4 separate regions of the Mus musculus genome follow, and all the other regions are reported to be linked to region 4. Evidence: microRNA targets listed by miRTarBase, many of them from high-throughput screens and not tested one by one. Region 4 holds a microRNA gene; each other region holds the end of a gene's coding sequence.

Evidence for each region. Region 4 holds the annotated microRNA mmu-miR-1912-3p (CACAGAACAUGCAGUGAGAACU, at 2,040-2,061, shown strand). A microRNA usually pairs through its seed, bases 2 to 8, with sites in the 3' UTR of a target mRNA and lowers its output. Matches are read on the target gene's strand: a 7mer-m8 pairs with bases 2 to 8, a 7mer-A1 pairs with bases 2 to 7 and ends in A, and an 8mer does both.
Region 1: miRTarBase lists Ciao2a as a target of mmu-miR-1912-3p. Seed matches in the 3' UTR shown: 7mer-m8 at 623-629.
Region 2: miRTarBase lists Btnl9 as a target of mmu-miR-1912-3p. Seed matches in the 3' UTR shown: 8mer at 522-529.
Region 3: the mRNA of Mzt1 is a reported target of mmu-miR-1912-3p. Seed matches in the 3' UTR shown: 7mer-A1 at 1,230-1,236.

The regions. Positions count from the first base shown.
Region 1 is chr9:66,137,985-66,141,168 of GRCm38, forward strand. It overlaps Ciao2a (cytosolic iron-sulfur assembly component 2A), which reads left to right. Exons shown (of 5, transcript NM_026635.3): 5 at 353-984. The coding sequence ends at 450. Among named protein-coding and RNA genes, the nearest start is that of Ciao2a, 13 kb to the left of the region's middle.
Region 2 is chr11:49,166,161-49,169,344 of GRCm38, reverse strand. Btnl9 (butyrophilin-like 9) reads left to right here. Exons shown (of 10, transcript NM_172793.2): 10 at 1-1,020. The coding sequence ends at 291. Among named protein-coding and RNA genes, the nearest start is that of Olfr1394, 7.7 kb to the right of the region's middle.
Region 3 is chr14:99,034,058-99,037,225 of GRCm38, forward strand. It overlaps Mzt1 (mitotic spindle organizing protein 1), which reads right to left. Exons shown (of 3, transcript NM_175245.4): 3 at 487-2,453. The coding sequence ends at 2,433. Among named protein-coding and RNA genes, the nearest start is that of Mzt1, 10 kb to the right of the region's middle.
Region 4 is chrX:147,007,454-147,010,637 of GRCm38, forward strand. It overlaps Mir1912 (microRNA 1912), which reads left to right and starts at 1,988; the gene lies at 1,988-2,074. The region is part of intron 2 of Htr2c (5-hydroxytryptamine (serotonin) receptor 2C); the gene reads left to right. Mir1264 (microRNA 1264) reads left to right here and starts at 3,148; the gene lies at 3,148-3,184.

The sequences.
Region 1 (3,184 bases), not on the chromosome of region 4:
TTAGTCATTGCATTAGGATGGATTAGTTAAAAGCACTTGCTGTTCTTCCCAAGGACTGGGGTTCAGTGTCCAGGACCCACATCAGGCAGCTCACAATCACTCAGAGCTTCAGCCCCAGGGGATCCAGTGCCCTATTCTGGCCTCCATATACACTTGTGAGCAGTGCATGTGTGTGTGTGTGTGTGTGTGTGTGTGTGTATGCCCAAGGGAAAAAAATCTTAATAAACTGTATGATGAGTTAGCTGTAAGTTCTCAAGGAGTTAAATGCTTTGCTTTAGCAGGCTGGAAAAATGCTGCTGACTGACCTCTCTGTCAGCACAGTTCTGTTAACTTTTGTCCTTGTGTTTTGCAGTCAACAAGCAGATAAATGACAAAGAGCGAGTGGCAGCTGCAATGGAGAACCCCAACCTTCGGGAAATCGTGGAACAGTGCGTCCTCGAGCCGGACTGACCCCTCCCTAAGAGCCAGTGGCTTAGAAGTGTTGGATCTGCTAGTTTCAATCCTTTGTAAGATGTAGAGGACACATGTTGACTAGATAGGTGATTTGTACCTCAGAGCTTTTTTTGTTTTTTGTTTTTTCGAGACAAGGTTTCTCTGTGTGGCCCTGGCTGTCCTGGAACTTGTTCTGTTGACCAGGCTGGCCTTGAACTCAGAGATCCACCTGGCTCTGTCTCCCAAATGCTGGGATTAAAGGTGTACACCACCACTGCCTGGCCTTCAGAGCATCTTTTAAGAGGATTCTTTCTGAGCAAATTTCAGTTATGAGGTAGATTCTAATTGTTCAATGAGTAACATTCTCAGGATTTCTAACTCAAGTGATCAGACAGAAAATATTTTCTAGTTATTATGTGTAAAATGTTACTATTTTTCTGATGACCATTCTGATACAACTGCTTTTCATGTCAAATATCTACTGTGCCCAAATGTATTTGATTTAAACCATTCTAAAATAAATATGACACGATTCTTTTAATGGCTCACCTTAGGTTTTTACTGAATTATAAATTCTAATGTAAACGTGAACTTTTAACAGGCATCTCCATAGCTGTGTTCTCTGATTATTGTGTAGAGTGAGGTCTAAGAATGGAAAGGTGAGGCCTGCTTTCCCTTTGGGAGAATGCTGGACCCATGCATTTAGAGTTGAGGGTCAGATGACTTATCTAGTTTTAACTAGTTTATTTTATGTGTATGATTGTTTTGCCTGCATGTATATATGTGTACCACATGCTTGCCTGAGGAGTTCAGAAGAAGGGATCAAATCCCCTGGAACTAGAATTACAGTTGTTAGTTGCCATGTAGGTGCTGGGATCGAACCTAGGTCGTTTGGAAGAGCAGTGTAGGTGGGTGCTCTTAGCCACTCAACAACCATCCATCTCTCCAGCTTCATAGTCACAGTTTTAAAGGAGTCTCCTCAAGAAGAGCGGAGGATCTAGCACAGTGAGAGTGTTGTGCTCTGCAAGGCCAAGTACCCGGGTTCAAACTTCCCCCCAAAAGAAGTACTGTGAGGTACTTGTTTGTTTTGTTTTTACTGAATTAATCTAGATGTTCTGAGCTTTCTTTTTTTCTTAGCTCAGCCTGATAGGGAGAAGAGTATACCTTTGGAGTGTGAAAGGGTATGGTAGGCGGCTTGCAGCAGAGCCTAATGTCCTCATCACCTGGCCTTTGTGCACTTGTACAGTCTCTTCCAGTTACAGCTGGTGGGCAGACCCAAAGAAATGGCAGAGGGACATAGTGTGACTTCTGAGTGCAGATTAGAATAGGTATTGCTGCTTCTGTCTTGGTCTTTTGGATTGCTCTCTCTGCCAGAATCTGGCCACTACAGCCAGAGAAAACTCAAGCATACCTGTGGAGACTTTCACAGGTAGAGGAGGCTACCCCACTGTCTACTACAATCACCATACACTAATTTTCGACCTTCGTGAACCACCGTGGAAGCCATCTTCCACCCACGGCCACTGTGTTAGGTAGATAAGAGTCTCATAGAAGACCTGGAAGGGAAGGGCCGTGCTAGAGACCAAATGTTTACTGTTTATTTCACTAAGGGCAAGGATTAGTTTGTTATGAAACACTAAGTCACAGAGTGCTGGGTGCCAACCCCATTTTGGCAGAAGGCTGGGGTGTGACACTTAGCATTCTGTTGAGGGGATTTTTAAGAAGTTAACTCAGAGTTTGGAGGTATGCTGTCTGTGGGTGAGAGAGACTCAGGACCATGTTTATGGCAGCCCAAGGAACAAAAATGGAACAGGGCAAGAGGCTAGGTACCTTGGAAATTTGGAAGCACTTTAAAAATGCATATATATTTTAAAAATTTTAAGTACATGTATGTCTGTACACCACATGTATGCCTGGTACCTGTGGAGGCCATAAAGGCCATAAAGATTCTCTGAAATTGGAGTTACACACGGTTGTGAGCTGCCACGTGGGTGCTGGGAATCAAACCCTGGGTCCTGCAAGAGCAACTGCAAGAGCAACTGCAAGAGCAACAAGTGCCCTTAGCCACTGACTTGTCTCTCTGGCCTCGAGTCTAACCACTTTGAGGGCAAAGCAGTGCCTGAGTGTCTTGCTGGGGTGTCATAATTGACACTGGCCAACAGGCTTTCTGCAGGGCAAGGAAGCCTCATCAGAGAGAGTCTGGACATGTGCCGCCGGGTGCCCAGGGACGTCTGCCCTGCTCTGTGCTCTCCAACCTCGTGCACACGTGTGTGCAAGCATGTGCCATTTGACCAGTGCTTACTTCTAGAACAGCCGTTCTCAATCTGTGGCTCATGACCTCCTTGAAGGTCAAATGACCTGTGAAAATGGGCGTCTTATATCAGATATTTACATTATGACTCATAACAAAATTATATTTATGCAGTAGGAACAAAATAATTTTGTAGGAGGGGGTAGGCACAGCATGAGGAACTGTATTAAAGGATTGCAGTATTAGGAAAGTTGAGAAAGTTCTAGAAGATAGGACAACCATTCTCGGAGAGGGTCTTTGACACTTGTGATGTTGGGGCCCAGGAAACAATACCCAATATGTGTTTTGACTGAGTACTGTAAACTAGGGAAACCAAGGTCAGACATGAATATACCCAGTGCTCAGGGCTGGAGAGATGGCTCAGTGGTTATGAGCACTGACTGCTCTTCTGAAGGTCCTGAGTTCAAATCCCAGCAACCACATGGTGGCTCACAACCATCC
Region 2 (3,184 bases), not on the chromosome of region 4:
GTGCCTCCCCGGAGGATAGGCGTCCTGTTGGACTACGAGGCCGGGAAGCTGTCTTTCTTCAACGTGTCTGATGGCTCGCACATCTTCAGCTTCACCGACACTTTCTCAGGGGCGCTCCGCGCCTACTTAAGGCCCCGAGCTCACGACGGCAGTGAACATCCGGATCCTATGACCATCTGCTCTTTGCCGGTTAGAGGGCCACAGGTCCTCGAAGAGAACGACAACGACAACTGGCTACAGCCCTATGAGCCTCTGGACCCCGCCTGGGCTGTTAATGAGGCAGTGTCCTGACCTCAAGGCCAGGTCCAAGCACTGTCCTGAACTCCTGGACAGCGCTTTGCTCTCCTGCAGCCAAAGCAGAGTCAGCAGAAAGAGGACAGAGAGAGAGGGCCTATACAGATGAATGTATATAATTATCTTTAAACAGACAAATGAAAGATTGTTTGTGTATATAGCAGGATTCTGGAGTGTGCAGTGTAGAAGATGGGAAAGAATCATAATTATCCGCTAATGTGTGTATAGTTCTGTATAGTGTATATGTGTGTGTGTGTGTGTGTGTGTGTGTGTGTGTAATTTTGTGGATCCTGCAAAAGTCTAGAAGTAATGTCATTTCATAAGCAATGAGTTCACCTTTGGCTCAGAATACAGTTTATAGCGACTTCCTTGATCATGTATGTGGCAATTCGAACATGAAATTCAATAATGGCAGTGATGTGGCTGGCTGGGGGTAAGCAGTGGTAGAGTGCTTGCCTAGCCCGAGGGATAGCACACATCTTCAACTTCACTGCCGATTTCCCCAGAAAAGTGCATTGGATCCCCCGCTCAGGTGGAGCAGGATAAGGATGGCAGGAATGCAGCGATACTCCTAAAACATAAACATACATATAAGTAACATTTACAAACAGAAAAGGCTATATTTAGCAAAATATAAGTATATACATATACTCATCTAATATCATTAATTTTAAAAGCCATGATTTTGAAAGAGAGCTAGAAGTGAGGCATAGGAGAATTTGAGGGAAGGAAAAGGAAAGGAGAAATTATGGAATTTTGTTACAATCTCTTAAAATTAAAAATTAAGATAATGTAGTATTAGGCAATAACTAAAACCCAAATGTATAAGCCCATGCTAACACTTTATTTTTCCTCTGTTTGCAAAGGAAGTCTTAGAAATAATTAAGTGAAACCTTTCTAAAAGAGAATGGGGAGGGTGGAATGGAAAAGCTATTAGCTTTGCATCAAGGAAATAATCAGTATAGACCAAAAAACAAAAAACAAGCAAGCAAACAAAAAACTGATGGCTGATAAGCCCACCAGGCAGTCTATTGAAAAGCAAGATGGCACCAATCTTATGTAGCAATCTTACATATTTCTTAAAATAGTGGAAATATAAACACAACTGAGAAAAAAGTGTATGAAATGATTCCTAATGATACCTGTAGACTGGAGCCTAGCATCATCATTATCAGAGAGGCTTCATCCAGCAATTGATAGGAGCAGACACAGAGACCCACAGCTAAACTTTAGGAGAAGCACAGTAAATCTCCTGAAAGGGAGGAGGAAGGTTTATAGAAGCCAGAAGGGTCAAGGACAAGGACACTGTATGAACAAAGCCCACAGAATCAAATAAGCTGGGCTCATAGGGGTTCACAGAGACTGAAGGGAGGATCAGGAAGACTACATGGATCTGACCGAGGTCCTCTGCCTATATTTTACAGTTGAGTAGCTTGGTGTTCTTGTGATGCTCCTAACAATAGGTGCAGTGGCTGCTGCTGGTTCTTTTTCCTGCTTTTGGGGCCCTTTTCCTCCTACTGGGTTGCCTTGCCCAGCCTTGATATGAAGAGATGTGCCTAGTCTCACGGCATCTTATTTTGCCATGTTTGGTTGATATCCTTGGGAGGTCTGCTCTTTTCTGAAATAAAAGAGGAGTGGATCTGGAGGAGAGGGGAGATAAGTGGGGGCTGGGAGAAGAGGAGAGAAGGAATCACAGTCAGGATGTTATATATGAGAGAAGAATAAACAACAAAAACAAATACAATTGTTTTAAGTAGGGGAAAGGACTTCAGACTCTTTCCTCAGCTTACTAGCATCCTCACATTCTTGGGAGAGCTTTTTCCTTTCTTAAAAGGCGCTCTCTCTCTCTCTCTCTCTCTCTCTCTCTCTCTCTCTCTCTCTCTCTCTCTCTCTCTCCTTTGAGACAAGGTTTCTATGTGTAGCCCTGGCTGTCCTGGAACTCACTCTGTAGACCAGGATGACCTTGAACTCAGAAATCCTCCTGCCTCTGCCTCCAAAGTGCTGTGATTAAAGGTGTGCGCCACCTATTTCTACTCCATATCTAATGTAAAAGTCATGGTGTTTTCTTCATCTTTTCCTTTTGCATGCCAGAGTTTTCATCTCCTTTGTACCAGTTTGCTGTAAACTCTGATAAAATTGTCCTTGAGCTTCCTTTAGAAAAATAAAGGAAAAGGGAAATGGGGATAGTACTATTGCAATGATAATTTGCAGGATGAGCCATGTAATGACATTTACATTTTCAAGGATGAGATAAGACATTAGGTCAAAGAAAAATGAATGGGAGCCCCCAAATATGAAAATACTTATGTGAGTGTTGATTTTTAGTTAGTGCCATAGTGATGCAGGGAAATATTGTTCTTCAAAAATAAGTGTTGAGAGCTTTAGAGATGCTTGAGGTAAACACAATGACTATTTTACTCTCAGGTGCTCCCCCAAACCCCAGAAAGCAAAGGTGGTGATTGATAGCGTCTCTGGTTAACTCATCTGCAGGGACTTGACATACCTTGAGGTAGGCTTCAAGTGTGTCAGATTCAAAGAGCTGAAGTGGAAATGTCTGGTTTCTTCGGAGACTCAGTTGTGTCATGTAATGCTTTTCTGGAAACTGTCTTATCAGAGGATGTTTTTGCTGAAGCAGACACGTAGAAGATGTTTTGCTGAGAACAGATATGTGATGATTTTCTGGAAGCTGCCTGGAAAGGGGTATATGATGTTTTGCTAGAGCAGATGCTTGAGAGAACATGTGATGTTTGGAGAAGGTATAAATACATCCCAACAGTGAACAACACTGTGTGGTATTGGTTCGCCTTGCTACTCCTTGCTGGTCTTTGTCATGACTTCACAGAGAGAAACACACCAAAGAACTTCTGGTGGTGTTCTTGCAGCTTCTTGG
Region 3 (3,168 bases), not on the chromosome of region 4:
TACATTATATTTCACTACAACATAAAATAGTTAAAGAAACAAGGAACTGAGTTCTTAATTAAATGTTTGAAACATATTTGGTTCACATATTGGGAAATGTTCACATATTTGAACATGCAAATAAATTTTATGACTCTCCACATAAAGATACAGAAAAAAAAACCATTTATCTGAATTGTCAATATTTATCTGAATTGTCAATATTTATCTGAATTGTCAATTTAGTCGTAAAGCCAAATCAATGCTATTATAATAATTTCTGCTATTATAATAATTTCTGCTATTATAATAATTTCTGCTATTATTATAATTTCCCCTCACTATCAGGAAAAAAGAATCCCACCCATACTCAGGGTTAAGATGTAATTATACGATGCATCATAGCCATCTTAACATTTTTATACACAGTAAATTCCTTCAGTTTAGATTACCTTCAAAAACAGAACTGAACCCACAGAAGTATACAGTATATCAAAAGGACAAGGCCAATAACACAAAATGATTTTATTTTTGTCACTGGTGACAAACATGTATCGCTGGTTTCTTAAATATTACTTATGTACTCATTAAAAATATGTTTACATCTAAAAATGTGACACAATTAGGAAGTTCTCTCTAAACATAATCTTTCCTAAATATAATTTCCTAGTTTGTTTCACACATAACTTAATCTACAAAATCAAAAATAAAACTACCAACCAACTCTGTGGTCTAGAAATACATACAAACTGTGAAATCTGAGAAAGTACTTTCTGATTTTAAAAATAATATACAATATATGCATATCACTAATCAAATGGTTCTTACAAGTTCTTACTGTCTCCCAACTTGGAAGAGATGCCTGTAATAGACCTTTCAATTTACTTAGTAAAGATGCCATACATGTAAAAAGTCAAAACAATCACAATCAAGATTTTGTCTGTAGAGATCAGGTCTCACTTTGTTGCCTAAGCAGCGTACGCTGGCCTGCGAGTCACCGTTCCTCGGCCTCAGCCTCTGACAGCAGGGACTACTGACCAGCAGACGAGATGAGTCTCAGAGCAGAGGAAACAGCTACTTCATTACTAAGTGGCTTAAAACCACCTTGGCTTCTCTGAAATAAAAAAGGGTTGGCATGGAATCAAACTTAAAATTTAAGAATCAAGACAGGCGGTGGTGGCGCATGCCTTTACTCCCAGCACTTGGGAGGCAGAGGCAGGTGGATTTCTGAGTTCAAGGCCAGCCTGGTCTACAGAATGAGTTCCAGGACAGCCAGGGCTACACAGAGAAACCCTGTCTTGAAAAACAAAACAAAACAAAACAAAAACAATTTAAGAATCAAAAAATTCAGATTAAATACACACTGAGCTCATGAAAATATCCCACTGAGATTCTGTAACAGGGGCAGAAGCAACTCCATCCAGCTTTTCAAATTTATCTTTGACCATCATTTTAATGAGTTAAAAGCTTTAATGGTAAAAATTACAAACATTTTCTGCAAATAATACTGGTACATATTTCATTAGTTTTTGTTGAACAACTGGAAATCCTACTTCTTTAGAAAACATGAATTAATCTGTTGAAATACACCACCTATGTACTGACTTAATAGCCACTCAAGATTCGCTAGTAAGCTTATTGTTTTTATGCAATAACATTAAAAAGGAATTTTGTATGTTTGCTGTTTTCACTTCATACATTATTTTGTGGACCTTTATGTGGTTATAAGATTTACAGAGAAATGCATTTCAGCTGTTCTTATTAGATTTTAATGGTTCAAACTACAAATAATGCTAAGTCAAGCCCTGGCATTCCTTTTTAAAAATCCAAGTTTCTAAAAGTTCTAAGTTTTCGGCAATATAAAAATGATCTTCTTTACACCTTTAACTGCCAAAAACTGGGTAAAAAACAAAATATTCTGTTAAGGAGATGATTTGAGATGTTTTGGATCCTATTTTTAAAAACAAGATGTGAAACAGAAAACTTCACAAACAGCAGCTCAAATTCCATTAACTTACAGCTCAATGGAACACACAGCCAGTTTTTATGCTTAAACAATTCAAAATTAAGGTTTATATTGGTAATGTCAACAAGTCATAACTACTACACATCACCTCTGATACAACCCACTAACTTCAAACAGGCTCAGCAGCTGTGCATGTCGGGTAGATGCTGTTTAGAAACTCACAGCTAGCAGAGCTATAAATATACATAAATAAGTGTGGCAACACTCTGGAGTTGGGGCCATTACAACAAGACGTGATGTAAACACACGTGCTGATTCTCGCTCAAGCCACTTCCCACTGACATGCTCAGCCATGGTTTTATAATTCTTTGTAAAAGAAAACATTTTCTACTCAGCATGCAGCATTGTCATTTTATATCTTGACTATGATGGAATCTTCAAATTTTCTTGCTAAGCTTGACATATCTCATCAGGAATTCTCTGGAAGTCAGCTTGTGTTTTCAGCAGCCTAGACAAAACAAGAGAGCAAGATCCATTATTTTAAGAAACCATAGTTAAGACAACCATGGAGGTAAATCTACCTATACCATATTTAACAAACAGCTAGTTATTCCACATCACAACTCAATTGGTTTTACTGGAAAAATACAATGATTTTTATTTTTTGTTGTATTATCAGATATTTTAAATTTACTGCCAGATTATAAAAAGAAGGAGTCATTTATATAATAGAGATCATGTAAAATGTACTACTTCTTTAAGAGTTAACACATAACTTGTTTTCCAAGGTCTTCATTAGTTTTTTTTTACTATAGTGTAAAGACAGAATTAATAATGAGAAAGACCTAGTAAGCTACAAATAAAGAATACCAGCAAACAGGGAAGATATTTGTAATTTTTCTTCTTTTTATTTCTTTTTTATTTTTGCTAAAAGGTATTTATGGTATTTTACTTAAAAACAGAAATAATTTTATTGTAATGAACTCAGAAATAGAGAAATCACGCTTGAACTCGCAGTCCCAAGCTGCACATAGTTCACTGACACAGCCAGCCATGCAGCTTCATTCAGTGCTTTACCTTCAGTACCAATTACATTTTATGTTCTGATGCAGACGCACAGACGGAGCGGAGACAGCATGACAGTTAAAACTAGAGAAACAATGAGCTCTGTATTTTCAGGACTCGCTGACATCACCCAGGATCACCCTTCTTGGTCTCTTTTC
Region 4 (3,184 bases):
GTGCTCTGGCTTTGGCATTGCTACTGTAGGAGAGAGGAAATGTTTTAGGCTCATCCTCCTTTTCTTCATGGCAGAGGTATCTATTGCATGAGTTATTACAAAGTGAAAGGAATCATTATACCGTAACTCAATAGTAGAAGGCTTACAAGAAACTTTGATTTCCATATTTCCATCTTTAGTATTATGAGTGAGGAGGGGGGTCAGGAAAGTGACCATTCTTCCTTTGCCATGTATTCCAATGCCAACGCACCACATATTTGGAGTAGTTTGTCTGAAAGGTGACACTGTAGAGAAATGCTTCATTTTCCATTACAAAACATGTAAGCTATATTATTAGTATTTTATCATGATTAAGCTGTGCTAATTTTCAGAGATATGAATGGCATATCCATTAAATCATGAAAGCTCTTTCAAATAATACTTTGCAATTCTGCCTTTTCTAATATGAAAGTGGAGACTATCACATATCAAGGGAGTTTATTAAAGTGATAATTTATAGCTTAATGTATGTCAATTTCAACTCTTTCAATGTTAACAAATCTTGGCTCTAAAAGAATACTAATACATCAACTAAGAAGCAAAGCATTGTAGTCTTCTATTTTCCCCAAATTGTTTCATTTAAATATAATCCATAGTTGGTCTTTAGAATGATAGGGACTAAACCAAAATATTTTTCAAACCCAAGTTCATTTTGCAGATCATTTAGCAAGTAAATATTAAGGCTCCTGGTGATGCTATGTTGAACATATTTATAAGATTCAAAAAACAACTCCACCAAACCATCAGTGAAGATTTGTTTACTTGTCTTAGCACACCATTCCATATTTACAACTGTGCAGTATTTAGGGCTCAGCGATAGGACCTCAGGCATTTTCCTTTCCCCAGCCATAGTAATTCACACCCAGTTTGAAGTCACATGCTCTTGATGTTCTCTTTGTAACAGTATTATTTCAGTTGCCTAGATGCTCCTCATTCTTTAAGTCCCAGGTTATGTGTGACTGTTTCATTAATCTCCCATGATACATACACCAGCAACCCTCACTATTTAAACTCTGTCTCTTATTTTACTTGGCTCTGTTGTATTTTTACAGCATTATTCTTCTGCAATTATCTTGTGCATTTGTTCACTTCCTTATTAACTCTCTCCCTGTCCTGCCTATTTATTCTAAATTTGATTGTAGCCAGGACTTTAGTTGTTTCCAGACAACTGCATTGCAAGAAACTTGTTCATTAAAAAAAAAAATAGGTAATTAGTCATCACATAGCTACTCCATAAAGTCTAACATTTAATTCAGGGTCATGGAACTGAAAAATAACATAAAAGTTGTTGGGAACATTTCAGGAAAAAAAAACAGCACAAAAAATATTAAAAAACAAGACCTATGAGGAAAATACGTTGATTCAGGTAAGACCAAGAACCAGTTTTACTTAACTTTTTATAATTGACAGAGATCTTTGACCTATTAAAGTCTTTTATCTTTTGAAAAAAAAATAGCAAATTTAGTTACTGATGTCCCTGTTTAATAGGTATAAACTGAGACCCAGAGATTGAACTAATTTGTACAAATTCAGAGAAATATAACATGTAATCCAGGTTTTCCTTCTTCCTATGTCCAATATTTTTTTTTCTCATAAAACCATCTATCTACAGGATCACTAACCAGAGTAGGGAATTTAGTTTGGATGTAGTGAACAATGACCTTTTCTATTTGAGTTTATAAATTTTTATGTTATCTCAGGAGGTTCTCAAATATCAACCTTTATTTGTGGTAGCTATTTGTTTTCTTTATATGGTTTGAAAGAGTATGTAGTGCAATGGTAGAGGGTGACAGATTGCTAATCTATTGGTTCTTCAATTTCCAATATTCCATAATTCTTTGGTTAAGTTTTCCACTTTGCCAACTAATATTTCAAATATACTTAATATTTTTTAACTTAACAAGCTGATGACCCCTTAACAACTATTGAACTACATATCACAAGCATATTAGTCTCTAGGATGTGCTCATTGCATGGGCTGTGTAGATTTTTATTTAATACACAGAACATGCAGTGAGAACTTGATAGAGATTGGAAGACATCCAGAAGAATAAACCACGAATTCTTATAGGATAACTTTGTATTTGGTACAGATTAATTAACTAACCATCCATTTAAAGGTTTTTACTAATCCTGTCTCCAAACACCACAACCTAGATTCAAAAACACACTACTTGAACTTCCATATTGATTCTATTTTTATTTGTTACTTGATATTCTTCTTTACATAGATTGTTAAAATTTCACACAGAGTCAAAGTTAGCTTTTTAGTAGAATTATAAACAATAATTCAGATGCTAGAGAAATGGCTTAGCAGTTAGGAGTACTTGTTGCTCTGGCAGAGGACCAAGGTTCAATTCCCAGCACCCAAAATTTGGTTTACAAGTGTTTTTTAACTCCACCTTCAGTGAATCTAACACCCTCTGATGGCCTCCTTGGGCACTGCATGCATGTGGTGCACTTATATACGCAGGCAAAGCATTCACATGCATCAAAGTAAAAGAAAGACAATTTCCTCAAATATCCCATTGATTCAACAACATAAAACTTTTGTTTCAAATATATTATGACCATGTGTCAAAAATTACATTGATGACACATTAGATGCAGATGTTTTACATTATTAATGGGATATTAATAAATATGTCACCTGATGCTCACCTCATTCTTACATTTGAAACTTATTATTGAAAATATTCTGAATAGATATATGTCATTCATTTTAAATAGAAGACTTTTCTAGAGTAGTAGAATGATTTAGCTTGATTTGAAAGCATAGCAATCCTTGCACATTTAATACTTATAATTAAAACGTACTTGTTCTTGTTTTGGCATCTCCTTGTTTATGTAAGGAAGCAAAGCCAAACTAAATATGTATTAAAAAGTCTAATTGAAGAGCCAGAATAAAACACATTATAGGTCAGAAACACAACAGCTCTATATTTAGATACAACTAAGAACAAAGTAGAGATAAAAGGAGGTTTATAAAGAAAATGATTTAGTAATTACTTTTTAGAAATATTGAAACTTCTATGTCATATTGAAAAATATGGTCGAACTTTTTAAAGACAATGTCAGGATACATAGAACACGTTATATTTCTTCATGCCTGGCATATAGCAGGTCCTCAATAAGTATTTGTTGA